Nothobranchius furzeri: one gene and its partner. Each later gene encodes a partner of the first gene's protein in a complex. Links are inferred from orthologs where the notes say so. Each region holds a gene or a part of one and is shown in the gene's direction. Other genes may lie near its edges.

Region 1 (7,841 bases):
TAGAAGATGCCAAGCGGATCCGTGTGATGGGAGACATTCCCATGGAGCTGGTTAATGAAGTCATGATGACAATCACAGATCCTGCTGCTATGCTCGGACCAGAGGTCAGCCTTCACCGCCAGTCAGGAGGGCAATGATGTTTTGAGCTGCAACTGAAGCCTGGAAGTTCGGATGTTGTCTCTCTGCAGTCTGATGGCACACCGTCAGTCCTGCAGCAGAGAGAGACACAGTGGGGGGACAGGACAAAATCAGCATTTTGATATATCGGCTATATCGATATGTTTGCATATATTTACAGTTGTTATTAGGGCCGGGACTTTAATGTGTTAATTATGATTAATTAATTAGAAAAAAATGACGCATTAAAAAAATTAACGCTTTTAATCGCAGCTTGCATTTCGAGAAAGGCGGAACCTTTGTTATTGCACGATTTTCTCGTAGACCGAATATCACTGATGCACACAACAATGCACAGTGCTAATGGCTACTAAAACGGAATAAAAACAGAAAGAAGTTGCCTTGCTTGGACTGATGCAGGATTTAGGAAACCCGTCCGCCTCTTTTCTTAACTGAAAAAAAAACAAACTTCCGGACAACAACGGAGTCCGTGTCGCGGACATTTTTCAGAGATCGATAGAATAATTCTTTGCCCTAACAGTAGTTTATAAAAGTAGTCAGACAAACGAGAGGCACCTGGCTGCCGCTGGGAGAACGCTCCGTGTTCTCACTACTCTGTAAACAATCACAACGTGTCTTAAAGTTGAAAACAGAAGTTTAAGTTAAAACAGAAACGCTCTAAAAATGTGATTAATTTAGATTAATTAATTACAAAGCCTCTAATTAATTAGATTAAAATTTTTAAACGAGTCACAGCCCTAGTTTTTATACATTGGCATTGGCCGATACTTGTTGTTAGTGAAGCCGATTTAAAGTCAGGCACATCCTGGGGCAGCCTGGTGCTGAATTTAATTTAAATGTAGTTTTACGTTCATTACCATCTGCGTAACCCCGGCTTTCCACCGGAGCCGTCAGCAGCACGTTACTGCAGCAGCACGTCATAGCTGCTGATAGGAACCGCTGTGGTCAACAGAACCTTTTCCACTGGAGCCGTCAGCAGCGTGAGTCGGCCGCGTCTCAGGAGCAGCATGTCGCGGCCTTTACGCGCCAGTTCTATTTTCTACGCGCGACGCCTCTGAAACGGGTCAGGTTCAACATTTTTGGGGAAGGAAAGACAGGAAATCGGACGCGGAAATGGAGAGAAGCTCCAGAGATTTTCAGAATAAAGAACGTACTGCCTTCCGGTTGCTTTACTTTAAAAAAAAAGTTACTAACTGTGAGGCCCCGTGAGAAGTTATCACCTAGCTAGCGGTCTCCTTTGTTTTTCAGGTCCGTATTGGCGATTATAAAACGAACAGAACATAAAACACAAACATTTTGGAGCCATATTGTAGTTTTCTCCTGCTTGTTGTTGTGTTTACTGACGAAGTCACTCGTGTGACTTCGTGCTCTGTCGGTGACGGCTGCTCCCCTGCTGCTTCGCGTCTCGTGGGAAGGGCCAAGCAGCAGTTTACGCGAGCAAGACGTGCTGCTGCAGTAACATGCTGCTGACGGCTCCTGTGGAAACCCGACGTAATAAGCGCTCTACATTAACTATTTAGGTGTCTGACTTTAACACTGAGCTGTGCAGAGTTTAAACACTGATTCAGCTCTAGGAATTTTGTGCATCTACTGATGTTATAAGTGACAATTTAGCATGAAAATAAGGTGGAAAATGTCTGGTTCTGCAATATATATCGGCCATCAGCTGACCATGTTTCCTACATATTGGCGCCGGTTTTGGCAATAGAGAAATGAGTGTCGGTCAACCTCTAATGTGATGTATAATTTGCATATGTGGTGAATTGGTTGTGGGAGGAAGGTCGGTTTCTATGAAAAGATTTTAACATTTTACACAATTAAAAGTTGAAAATTCATAGGAGGAAGAGACTCAGTGTGGTGTGTTTGCAGCCTTAATAAAACTAGTTGCTATGGGTTTCTAAGACTTAGGTGTAATAAGGTATCTCTAACAGTTTGTTTATGTTTGAAGACAAACTTGCTGACGCCTAACGCTGCCCGGGACGAGACAGCCAGGCTGGAGGAGAGGCGGGGCATCATAGAGTTCCACGTCATCGGAAACTCTCTTTCCCAGAAGTCCAACAAGAAGATCCTGATGTGGCTGGTCGGCCTTCAGAACGTCTTCTCCCATCAGTTACCTCGTATGCCCAAAGAGTACATCACTCGGCTGGTGTTTGACCCGTAAGTGGACAGTCTTTCACCAGGTGTGTCATCGTGTAAAAGCAGCTGCCTTTGCTGACACTTTTGTTCCGACAGGAAGCACAAAACCTTGGCTCTCATTAAAGATGGCCGTGTTATTGGAGGCATCTGTTTTAGGATGTTTCCAACCCAGGGCTTCACAGAGATCGTCTTCTGTGCCGTCACATCCAACGAACAAGTCAAGGTAGTGAGGATTTAATTAGAACACACCGATCCCTGCTGATTGTTATTAGAGGTGCTGAAAAAAATCCATTCAAGTCTGAATCGGGATTCTTATTTATAAAGATTCAGTATCGATTCCAAGAACTCAAATATTTGGCATGTTACAGGTTTGAGATGCACTTTTTTGATCTTTGTTAGGAGAGTCAGTACTCCGATTACTTTTGTGCTCCCATAAATTGTTTGAATCTGCTGATAAGAGGGTGCTTGAATGTCATTTTTTCCATACTCAGAAATTTGAGATATTCTCATATTTATTTTCTAAGTTGATAAATGAGTACTCAGGATTACTCATGTAACTTGTTTCCACACATACTTGAAAAGTATTTGACCGTATTACTTTTAAAGCTACTGTTAGGTAACTACAGATTTGTTATATTTTACAAGGTAAGCAAAAATAAATGTTGCCTTTTTGTCATAAGATTGTTTCTGTTTACAGTTTTAGAATCACTTTATTTTTCATTGTAAATTAGCATTTTGGAGCACGACCAGTTTGAAGTCTAATAAAAATGTCCCATAGCTTTAACTAACTTGTACAACAAAGTAGTTCATCCTGGAGCTGACACTCTTTGTTGATACGGAATGTGAATCGATTTAAATTGAGAATCGAGAAACGATTCTGAATCGAATCGGCACCCCAAGAATCGGAATCGAATCAAATCAAGAGTTGCTCTAAGATCCACATCCCTACTTGTTATTGTGCATTTATTTAATATCTTTTGTTTTTACATCTCTTATTGACACAAATCTGTTGTGTGTGTGACTCTAAGGGTTATGGAACTCACCTGATGAACCACCTGAAGGAGTACCACATTAAACACAACATCCTTTACTTCCTCACTTACGCTGACGAGTACGCCATCGGATACTTCAAGAAGCAGGTACAGCAGACGCACCTCACCTGTCTCACTCCACTCTTGCGTGCATATCTCATAATTGTTTTCTTTTATCTGTTGCAGGGCTTTTCCAAAGACATTAAAGTGGCCAAGAGTCGATACCTGGGATACATCAAAGACTACGAAGGAGCCACCTTGATGGAGTGTGAACTAAATCCTAGAATTCCCTACACGGAACTTTCACACATCATTAAGAGACAGAAGGAGGTGCGTAAGGAGTCCTTCTAACTCAAATTCAATTCAGTTCAAAGATACTTTATTAATCCCAGAGGGAAATTAAGAGTTTCAGTACACACAATTCTGAGATCAGACATACATTGGCAAAGACACATGACAAGAATTGGTGACTGTGGTCAATCGCAACCCGAGTTGTGCTACCTTAATAGAGATCAGAGGATTTATATGAGGATTGGGTCAGGTGGAGGAAAAGAAGACACTTCAGAGTTACCCTCCACAGGGAGGGCAGCTTTGCTCTGCAAAAAAAAACACCTCAGACAGATATGCAACAGACTTCAGACAACACACAACATAAGTGTCCACTAAGTGGGGTGGTGGGTTGGGACTCTCCACATGTCAGTGCATGCAGCCGCGATGAGCAGCGCTCGTCACCTCCGTCTGGACGGGAGGGAGGTTGATGGGTTTAGAGGGCACAGTGACTCCTGGAACGATTCAACAGCCTTCACCGGTCACAGTCCCACCCAGGCTGGGATAGGGAGACAGAGTTACCATGGTGACGGCAGCATTCCACATTTCTTCTGAGGGGGGTAATCACTTCAGCCTCACAGGCTCAAGGGTACCAGATTCAGATAAGAACTTGTTTTGGGGCCAGACACAGATAATTTCCTCTCTGTCTTAAAGTTTCGTTGGTCCTCAACCTCTCAAAATCCAATAATGGCGTAATTAAAACTATCCCAATCCACACTGACCCATCAACTTTCTCCTTGATGGAATCCACCTTCTGTGCCAGAGTCTGAATCTCAGCCAAAGTCCCAAGCTTACGACTCATCTCGACAATTATATGAGTCTGAGCATTCACAGAGCGGTGTAATCCATCTCTGAGCTCCGGGATTGAGCCAATATTCCTCGACAGCTCGTTAATTTTCCGGTAAGCCAGGTAACCTCCCAGGCCAAAAAGCAGGAAACCCGACACCAACACCACGAATATCCACACATCTTCAGAATCCTCTAAAGACAGTTGGGAGAGGCAGATCAGGTTCCACTGTTTCCAGGAGTCCATGATATACCCAACTGGATCTGTCCCATAGGGGCACCCGGGAGCCCCTTCTCCCGTTGTCATCGTTGAAAAAATTTTGTCAATCGCGTTCAGAGACCAGCTGACCAGGTCCATTTTTAATAGTTTCCAGTAAAAATGCAGAAGCGCCGTACACCCAAAGACAGACAAAGAGCCTTGGGATAAGGTAGGGAGGAGAGGAGGAAAAAAGCGTCTGTACTCTCAAAGAGCCGGAAAAAGATAACTATGTGCTTTATCGACGAGTATTTTTAAATTGAAACATTTCTGACATTATAGATAATTAAGAAGCTGATTGAGAGAAAACAGAGTCAGATCAGGAAGGTTTATCCAGGTCTGACCTGCTTCAAAGAGGGAGTTCGGCAGATCCCAATGGAGAGCATCCCGGGAATAAGTGAGTGGACGACATGCTCTGACTTGTGTGATTTAAATAAAAATCTTCTCATTACTAACAATGTTTATGTTTCTTCTAGGAGAGACGGGCTGGAAACCCAGCAACAAGGACAAGGGGTAAACGCATCTAAAACATTTGGATTTTAGTTTCTGTGGATCCAGACTGACTTATTGCCCCAGTGTCTTACACCTGGGCCACACCGTGTTTTTCCACCATTGTTGACAAATCCATTGTTGTTCTGAACGTAGTTTTGACAAAAAAAAGGGTGAGTGTGATCTGTAGGTCTTTGGTATTCCGTGTGACCGGCGCAGCTTATTGAGCACCCCCACGACCAAATTCAGCCTCCAACAGTCTTCAAGAAGTGTCATAAAATCTATGTGACTCCAGTCTGCAGTCGACCAACGAAAATACACCCAGGGAGTGACATGTAAAAGCTGGTGACGAGCGTACAGTGCCAGAGTCGCATTAGCAACATTAGCGACAGTGGAGGCTACCCTCAGGAGCATGCGGACCACTCCTTTGGAGTTTGTTAGAGTTTAACAAAGAAGTGTTAACGCTCATGCTTTTTTTCTCATTTAATTGTTGTTGTCATGGGCATCTGTCGGCATTTAGTGATGTACGCTTTTTGGTGAGTGTGGTTGTGTTGTTAGCATGCTGCCAGAGCGAGATGTTGTGCTCACTGAAATCTTGGACCGTACAGTGTACCACCTCTAGAGTCCTCACAGTGCAACGTGAAGCAGTGTGACAGGTGAAAAATGCAGCGTGGCTTTAGTTATACAATAACACGGCTGTTTACCACTATGGTGTTACCACAGATTTATTGGTGATGCTATTTTTAGCATATCAGTTCAAAATGTTTGTGCAACAGAAGCACCGTTATTGATTGACTGTAGTAACGTGCATCACATTGGCTTCATGTGTTTTGGCCTTCTTGCCGTTTGACTCCCTCATTTCCTGTGACGCTTGTCCAGGATTGGGTTTATTACCCGGGGCACAGTGAGGGTACACCTTTTGTAACTTTTGTTTAAATAATATAAGAATGTTTATTAGGAATGTAAGAAAATATGTATATGGCGTATGAATGTATCGCAAATATTGTGATATATTGTATCTCTCCTGTATGGTGGTACGTATCGTATCGCCATAATTCACCAATTAACATCCCTAATGTACGTAATGAATGCATTATAATGGAAGGACGGGATAAATCTGATGCACACAAGGAGACTGAGTAACCAGAAGTAAATGTTTTCTAGTCACTCTTTATAATTAGTGTCAGATTTTAAATCTGTTTCCACCATTTAGAACATTAAGGTTGAAATTTTAATGAATGTCAATATTGGCTGATTGACTGAATTGAGTTTCTGCTAAAACATGGGTGTGTTTTGTAGGAAGGAGGTGAAAGACCCAGATGTGCTTTACAACATGCTGAAGAACCTTCTGGCCCAGATAAAGGTAAGCCTCACCTGCAGAGCTGGCCATATCTAGACCACATGAATAACGAGCTCTGAGACTGCTGAAGACCAGTGTTGCCAACTTAGCAACTTTGTTGCCATTTCTAACGACTTTTCAGACCCCCTTAACAACTTTTTTTCAAAAAAGCGCCTAGCAACAAATCTGGCGGCATTTCTGACCCCCCTCAGCTACTTTGACTACAACTTTGTAGCCGACTTTACCCACCGATTAGAGATGCATCTGAAGCGACAGGACCATCCTTCCTTCCAGAGGATCAGAAAGAAAATGATCTGTGCATGTGCGTGCAGCATGATCATGCTACCCCCACTGACCAATCAAACCTTTTGTGGGTTTTCACAAGTCCATTATTTGAGATAGCCACCGGAGCTACATAAAAGGCGACTGCTCCTTCCGCCATCCTGCCGCATTTCAGCAGCTGAGCTCGGCTGGCACTGGCAGGCAGCGTCGCACTCACACATGGCTTCTCGCACCACTTGTGGTGCATTCAAGGAACATTGGAACTCTATGATGAGTTCAATAACGTAGCACATTTAAAACTTTTATAAAATCACAATAATACTGAAAGCCATACACCTCAGGTCATTGGCAGTTTGCATGTAACGTTACTGAATACTAAATACGGCCTGCTTCTTTTTACACAAAAGTACTAAAAACAACAAAACCAAACAAAAATAAAAAATATATTGTCTGTTAGGTCAATATATAGCACTGAATCACAACAGAAGAATACATCTCAAGGCACTTAAAAGAGAAAATTCATTTTAATTCAATCATACATGCATTCCTATCAATTTAATATTTTTGTGTTTACGAGTTCCATTCTCTTCAGACAAAATAGAAATATTCCTTCCATTGTTTTGTGCCATCTTTCCTTGATGTTTTAAAGGCTGCTGTTCTGTATTCTATGGGGTTTTTATTTTAATAAAATATTAAAAAATAAATTAAATAATTTCTTTAATAAAATCACGTGGTTTTTATTTGATTTACTCTACAAGACCGGTGACGTCATGACGCAAACCAGGTGACGTCATTGTGTCATATGCAAATTAGCACTCTAGCGACTTCTGGGGGAAACTTCAGCTACTTTCAGTCAAAAACAGTTGGAACACTGCTGAAGACCTAATTCTGACTCCTGCACAGACTCATCCTGATGCCTGGCCTTTCATGGAGCCTGTGAAGAAATCTGAAGCTCCTGATTACTACGAGATCATCCGCTTTCCCATCGGTGAAGAACTCCTTTTCACTGTTTCTGCTCTCCTGTAAGTCCAGCTTTCTGTTAACATTTAAATTGTGT
Region 2 (7,110 bases), on another chromosome or scaffold:
CATCCGTGACACATTTAGGCTAATGTTGCTAAGAATAAATGCTATCCTAAAATCCCTTACTGTAAGTTTTCCGTTTGTGTAATTTGTTTGGTTCATTTGGCAATGTAAGATAAAAATAATCGGTGGTGTTAAAGCACTTCATAAAGCTAGTCTTTGTGTGAGCAGCGGTACATACATCAGAGAGCTCTTTATTGTTAGCCTAATTGTAGCCTCAGCTTTCACTTCTGTTCTGCGGGGCTAGAAAACAGCAGCCGCTTTACTAGCCTGGTTGCTAATTAGACATACATCTTATTAATATACTAGGGTTTTGTGAAGTGTTTTTGTTCAGCGTGTGTGGAAGATATCCGTGACACTTGCTTTCATTTCTAATTCCTTAAAAGTCACATCGTCAGGCGGCTCATTGTTTGCTATAACACACAAGTAGCCGTTAGCCAACCGGCTAACTTTTGAGGAAGCGTCTCATCTCTTCATGACATTAACTTTGTGTTGACGTCTGCTCAACCCGATCATTTTATTATTTGTACTCCGAAGACTCAAGAAGATAGACATTTGTTAATTCTGGTAACTTCCACACACTAAAGAAGCGGAGCTCCGTTTTTTTATTTTTATTTTAATACTAGTTGGAAGTTATTTTTGTGCCACGATGGCTTCCTCATCTGGGAACGACGACGACCTCACCATCCCCAGAGCAGCCATCAACAAAATGATTAAGGAAACTCTCCCTAACGTTCGAGTGGCCAACGACGCCAGGGAGCTCGTCGTTAACTGTTGCACGGAGTTCATCCACCTCATTTCCTCGGAAGCCAACGAAATATGCAACAAATCCGACAAAAAGACCATATCTCCTGAGCATGTCATCAACGGTGAGTCAGTCCCGACCCAGACCAGGAAGAGTATCATCCTCCCTGGTTCTAACCGCTGAAACTAACTGATTGCACTTTCACCTCCTGTTTTCGCACCGCAGCCCTCGAGAGCCTCGGTTTCGCGTCTTACATCACGGAGGTCAAAGACGTCCTGCAGGAGTGTAAAACTGTAGCTCTGAAGAGGAGGAAGGCCAGTTCTCGACTGGAGAATTTGGGTATCCCGGAAGAGGAGCTCCTCAGACAACAACAGGAACTGTTTGCAAAGGTGAAACGTCCTCATGCGTGAAGCTTGTGCTTTTTGAATGAGCATTCTTGTTTTCCCTTTTGCCAATCAGTAATCGTTGGCCTGGGATGAGCTCTGAGTGTTTATTTAGTACTTTAAACTTATCTGTATAGCTGAGAATAAACAAAACAACAAAGTTATATTCATTTTTATTAATAACACATCGTAACATTTAAGAAACGTCCTGGTGAACATCGCAAATGAACAACAAAGTGCAAAGTTACAAAAATACTGTTATTATTAGAGTGAAGCAGATGATTTAGTTCATTGCTGATGTTATTCACGTTTAGCCTTTTTAAAGATTAAAAGTCATTGTGCTGCCTTCTAGGGTTGTCACGATACTAAAATTTCAAACTCGATTCGATACTGGGAAAAAACTCGGTACTCGATTTCGATACTATTTAAAAACACCAATTTATTGAACAAGTTTATTCAAAAAATAACATTCCTCAATTTATATTGCAAAAGTTAAATGTTAAGAATTAAGTGTGTAAAGTGCTTAAACCTTTCAAGTATCAGCATTTTTTTAAACGTGCATACAAAAACTGGTGAAAGTTAACACTTTAAATCATGAATTGTCCCACTATATATACACTATTTGCAGAGTGATGTTTTGCTGCTTAAACTCTGTTTAAGGTGCATTTTTGTCATAAGATGTAATGCCATATGTTTTGTTCTGTACTTTTGAACAACTCTGTTGGTCAATAAAGGGAGAAAACTAATTTCTCCTCAGTAGGACAAAGGTACATCTACCGGTAATCTTAATAAAAACAGACCAGCGCACGGCAGTGACGTCATTAAAAGCGCCGGTTAGATTAGCCGCGGCTAGTCTGTTTACGCCTAGAAATCCCAGACCCGCTCCAAACGAACAGGGGAATCACGTTAATGATTCCTAACAAAACCTTTCGACATTGAGATGTTTTGGTGCAGATAATGTCTTATTTCGAGGCTGCACCATGGGTGCCCGTCCGCACCCGTTATACGGATATACACTGACGGCGATTCGCCGATGGATCTACGGTAAATACCCCGGGGAATCCAAGTAGCACCAAAGTTGTCAGCATGAGTAAACAAACGTACTGCATGCTAGAAATTAAGTCCGGGTTGCAATAAACGGGAGTTTCCTTTAAGCACATAAGCGTGAATATACAACTACTTGTCGGACTTGGTATGCTAATTAAGTTGGGCTGTGAAGCGCCTCCCAAATTCGCTGTTTTTGTTTATTTTTTTTGGCAGACAAAACTTGGATCGGAGACAACTCGCGTGGGAAATTGCAATGTAGCAATGCGGCGTCTTCTTCTTCTGTTTGTCTGGGAGGCGGAGGCTGCTTTACGGCATCTGGCTGTCGTGCGTGTCGGTGTACTTGAAGAAGGCTGTGTATAATAGTCCATAATATCGATACCACAGGGATGGAATATCTAATTTAGATACCACTTTTAGCATCGATTTATATCTGGGTATTGATTTTTTTGACAACTCTACTGCCTTCTCCAGGTCAGGGATGAGGTCCTGCCCCAAGTGGAGGAGTTTGAGTATCTTGGGGTCTTGTTCACGAGTGAGGGAAACATGGAGCGAGATCGACTGGTGGATTGGTGCTGCATCCGCAGTGATGCGGGCGCTATACCAGTCTGTTGTGGTGAAGATAGAGCTGAGCTGGAAGGCAAAGCTCTCAGTTTACCAATTGATCTATGTTCCTACCCTCACCTATGGTCACAAGCTTTGGTTAGTGACCAAAAGAATGAGATCGCGAATACAAGCAGCCAAAATGAGTTTTCTCCGCAGAGTGGCTGGACTGTCCCTTAGAGATAGGGTGAGAAGCTCGGTCATTCGGGAGGGGCTCGGCGTAGATCCTCTGCTCATCCACGTTGAGAGAAGCAGTTGAGTTGGTTCGGGTATCTGGTTAGGGTGCCTCCTGGCTGCCTCCCTGGTCAGGTTTTCCAGGCACATCCAACTGGGAGGAGACCCAGAGGAAGACCCAGGGCACGCTGGAGGGACTATGTCTCTCAGCTGGCCAGGGAACGCCTTGGGATTCCCCTGGAGGAGCTGGGGAGAAGGAAGTCTGGGCCTCTCTGCTTAGGCTGCTGCCCCCGCAACCCGAATCCAGATAAGCGGCTGAAAATAGATGGATAGATGGAAAATTATTGCTTTTCCTGATTTGTTTTTCTGTATAAAGAAAAAAAAAATCCTAACTAAAAGCTGAAATATAGGCCTGCACGATATTGATCAATATTGCTGTTTCACTGCGCCTAATATTATCTCAAAGGATTTTAATAAGTTGCTGACACTAACTTTTGACTATCAGAGGTTTCCACTCCCATAATGGCCCTCGATCAGCACACCATGTTCTGTATGAATCTTTATGAATGAACATGGAGTTTCTGTTGCTGCTGTTCATTCATTTATTTTTACTAAATCTGACCAGTAACTAAACTTAAACATTCTGCAAATTTACACCTTTACCTAAGCTTTGCTTTAAAGTAAACACTGAAATGTGGTTTCATTTTAGTTATAAAATGTTCTAACTGATCGTTATGTCATGTAAAACATCTCTTTGATGGCTTTACGTATGCACAGTCCTCAGGAAAAATAAAAAGCTCTTCTTGCTTCTCTCTGGTTCTGTGGGCCGCGTGGCTGCAGGCCCGGCAACAACAGGCAGAACTCGCCCAGCAGGAGTGGTTGCAGGTGCAGCAGGCTGCCCAGCAGGCACAGATGGCGGCCGCATCTGCCAGTGCAGCCCAGCAGGCTGGTTCCTCTCAGGATGAAGATGAGGAGGATGACCTGTGAACTCCGGATGTGGGTACATGTTCGGACTTTGTCCTGGGACACTGCTGGCACACGTATCTTCCAGCGTTCTCGTTGGCGGAGACGTCTTTGAGCGCTGAAAATAAGCACATTTGAAGAGAACAGTGAAAGAGGAATGGGCCCCATCCAGATCCTAGTTCCTGGAAACGATTTGGATTGAATGGCTGAGTTTTGTGTTAACCTTATGTTCCCCATATAAGTTACTTATGTGAAATGAGCTCTTTGATGTTCTGTTGTGATTGGATTTGTAGTTGTGAACACACTGAGAGCAGATACTGGGACGCGTCAGCGACTCAAGCGTCAAGTCTCTGCTCCTTCAGGTACATCACAGACGCCCAGTCCTCAGTCGGTGGTTTAGATGAACTCGTTTCTCTTTATTTGATTATTGGTGGTCACTTTTACAGGAAAGATTTTGTTTTCTCCCTTAGCATTTTTGTTCAGACAGTGAATTTGTTTGAGGCATTGTGAATATTGAATTTGTTTCGTTATGTAGAGAAATAAATAGACCTTTTTTTTTTATTTTAGCTTGTTCTGATATTTGTCATTTTGTTCTTCCTTAGAACCGCCCACAGTATTGGTAATTAGCTGCAAAGTTGAGCAAATTAAACTTTTATCTCATAGAACCAAAGATGGAGGACAGACTTACTGCTCAGACTTTGTTTTTAAAAGTGTAGGTGCTACCGTGATACTTACTGCTGACTCCAGATCAGTGTAAATGATGTGAGGAACCTTGTGAGATGCTTTTGTGTTCAGGCTGAAATGATTTCCATTTTCCTCTGGAGCAGTATCTAAATATCTTTATTGTGACTTTGGTCAGCCCTCAGCGTTAAAAAAAAACAAGTTGTGAAACAGTCATTTGTTATTCTACAAAGTTGTATTCTTTAAGCAATAAAGAAGTGTTTTTATAGGTCAGTGTTCCATGTTTGCTTTAAATACTCATAATAAATACTTTATTGTTTACATAGCTGAATGTGCTAACAGCACAATCACACAAAAATGATCAATGGAAATCAAATTTATCAACCCAAGAAGGTCACACTCAAAAGTAAAGTTGATACACACTACAGGCAAATCCACCTTTGATATAATGTAAATGCCCTGTATTTGATATAGTGCCTTCTAGAATAGTGATGGGAATTCCAGCTCTTTTTAGAGAGCCGGTTCTTTTGGCTCAGCTCACCAAAAAGAGCCGGCTCCCAAGTGGCTCCTCAGATTTTCTGTTGCGTAGAGTACATTTATAACCAAAATAATGCTAAACTATATGTAAAATAATTTACTAATGTAAAAAAAGCAATATATCAATTGTTTATAATTTCTATGGATTTAATAACTGAACACTTTAAGAAATCTCCACTTTCCGACTGCTGGCGCTCATTTTCTCACCGTCTTCGTCGCACTCTCCTCTCTCTCGCTCGCCTTTTCCCTCCTCCTCATTCCCTCTCGTCTACCTCCACCCGCATGTGCTCTGCTGTGTGTCTGAGTCTGATCCTCCCTCTTCCCCGCCCCTACTGCTCTGTGTGTGGACGGTCTGGACACACAGTTCCACATGTTGACCAATCGCCTGTAGCTTTCACCAAGGCAGGGGGCGAGGGGGTAGGGGACGAGCCGGCTCCCGTCGTTCACTTCAAAGAGCCGGTTCATTCGCGACCGACACATCACTATTCTGGAGCCCCCCTAGGTGCTTTACGACACAATCAGTCATTCACACATTCAAACGCAGGTGGGGATTACCTACGATGTAGCCACAGCTGCCCTGGGGCACACTGACTGAGGCGAGGCTGCCAAGCACAGGCGCCACCGGTCCCTCTGACCACCACCAGCAGGCAAGGGGGGTTAAGTGTCTTGCCCAAGGACACAACAGTGACAGACTGAGGGGGCTCGATCCTGCAACCTTCCAATTACAGGGCGAGCACTTAACTCCTGATCTACCGTCACCCAATGTCCTTCAAACCAGTCAGAATGAGGCTTGGTAGTGTGTCTGGCCTCCATGCGTCTGTATGACCTCCCTACATCACCTGGGTATGCTCTTGAGGTGGTGGATGGTCTCCTGAGTGATCTCCTAGTTCTGAACTAAAACATCCGCCAAATCCTGGACAATCTGGTGCAACGTGGCATACGTGCTGTCCCACATGCGCTCAGTTGCATTCAGGTCTGGGTAATGGACAGGCCAGTCCATGGCATCAACAACTAGGTTTCCATTACCAGAACTTCAGGGTAGATTTACAGGAACCTCCTGACATGCACGTGTCTCCACTTGACCAGGCCGTTTTCAGGAACCTTCTGAGTAACTGATCAGGGGTAAGTACTCCGAACGGCCTGGTGGAGCAGCTGAGCGAAACCTCTGGTTACCTCATACTGATTGGTTGAAACCCAGTTGGAAATGACATCAGCAGGCTGGTAAAATTAGGAGAGTTGCTGGTGAAGCAGAATGGAAGCATAGGAAAATAAGCGTCGATCGTGCTTAAAATCTAACTCCTGACACCATAAAACATGGTGGAATTCCCCCCGCAATCAACGAGGCTTTGTTGTCTCACAGAGCGCTGTAAAATATGACACTTCTTCTGGTCATTGAACACCACATTTTACGTCACACAGCTGCTCTCATCCTCAGAGTGGATGCATTTTTTATATACTTCAATAGAATAAAGGCTTGTAATGTTATTGTTACTGCGGACGCTTTTTGGCGACATTGCTCACTGCCAAAGCAGTCGTGATATGCTGACGTCTGTGCAAAGTTTTGAAAGGGCTGAATTTGAATGGAGACAACAGCTGTGTGTACTGGGACATCCTATCGCCTGGTCAGTTTCCCCATCTCAGGAATTACCCTTGAGTTTTGGTAATGGAAACACAGCTTTTGTCTTGCATTAGGAGGAACCCAGGGCCAACCGCACCAGCATATGGTCTCACGAGGGGTCTGAGGATCTCACCTCAATACCAAATGGCAGTCAGGCTACCTCTGGCGAGCACATGAAGGGCTGTGTAGCCTCCAAAGAAATGTCACCTCACACTACTGACCCACTCTCAAACTGGACATGCTGCAGGATGTTGCTGGCAGCAGAATGTTTGCCACCGTGTCTCCAGACTCTGTCACATGCTCAGTGTGAACCTTTCCGAAGATCAAAGGGTGTCAGCAGGGGCGGATTTAGGACTGAAGAAGATCCG

The links.
Region 2: kat2a (region 1) and dr1 share a complex: the UniProt entries of both Homo sapiens proteins name them as parts of the ADA2A-containing complex. The link is inferred for Nothobranchius furzeri from reciprocal best matches to the Homo sapiens genes KAT2A and DR1.

The regions. Positions count from the first base shown.
Region 1 is NC_091745.1:16,603,646-16,611,486, reverse strand, and holds part of kat2a (histone acetyltransferase KAT2A), read left to right. Parts: coding exon 1-104; intron 105-2,086; coding exon 2,087-2,295; intron 2,296-2,370; coding exon 2,371-2,497; intron 2,498-3,302; coding exon 3,303-3,413; intron 3,414-3,491; coding exon 3,492-3,635; intron 3,636-4,956; coding exon 4,957-5,071; intron 5,072-5,150; coding exon 5,151-5,187; intron 5,188-6,462; coding exon 6,463-6,526; intron 6,527-7,687; coding exon 7,688-7,772; intron 7,773-7,841. UniProt on the Homo sapiens protein: Protein lysine acyltransferase that can act as a acetyltransferase, glutaryltransferase, succinyltransferase or malonyltransferase, depending on the context.
Region 2 is NC_091756.1:58,159,948-58,167,057, reverse strand, and holds the end of dr1 (protein Dr1), read left to right. Parts: 5' UTR 1-643; coding exon 644-863; intron 864-964; coding exon 965-1,128; intron 1,129-3,783; coding exon 3,784-3,930; 3' UTR 3,931-4,855; downstream 4,856-7,110. UniProt on the Homo sapiens protein: The association of the DR1/DRAP1 heterodimer with TBP results in a functional repression of both activated and basal transcription of class II genes.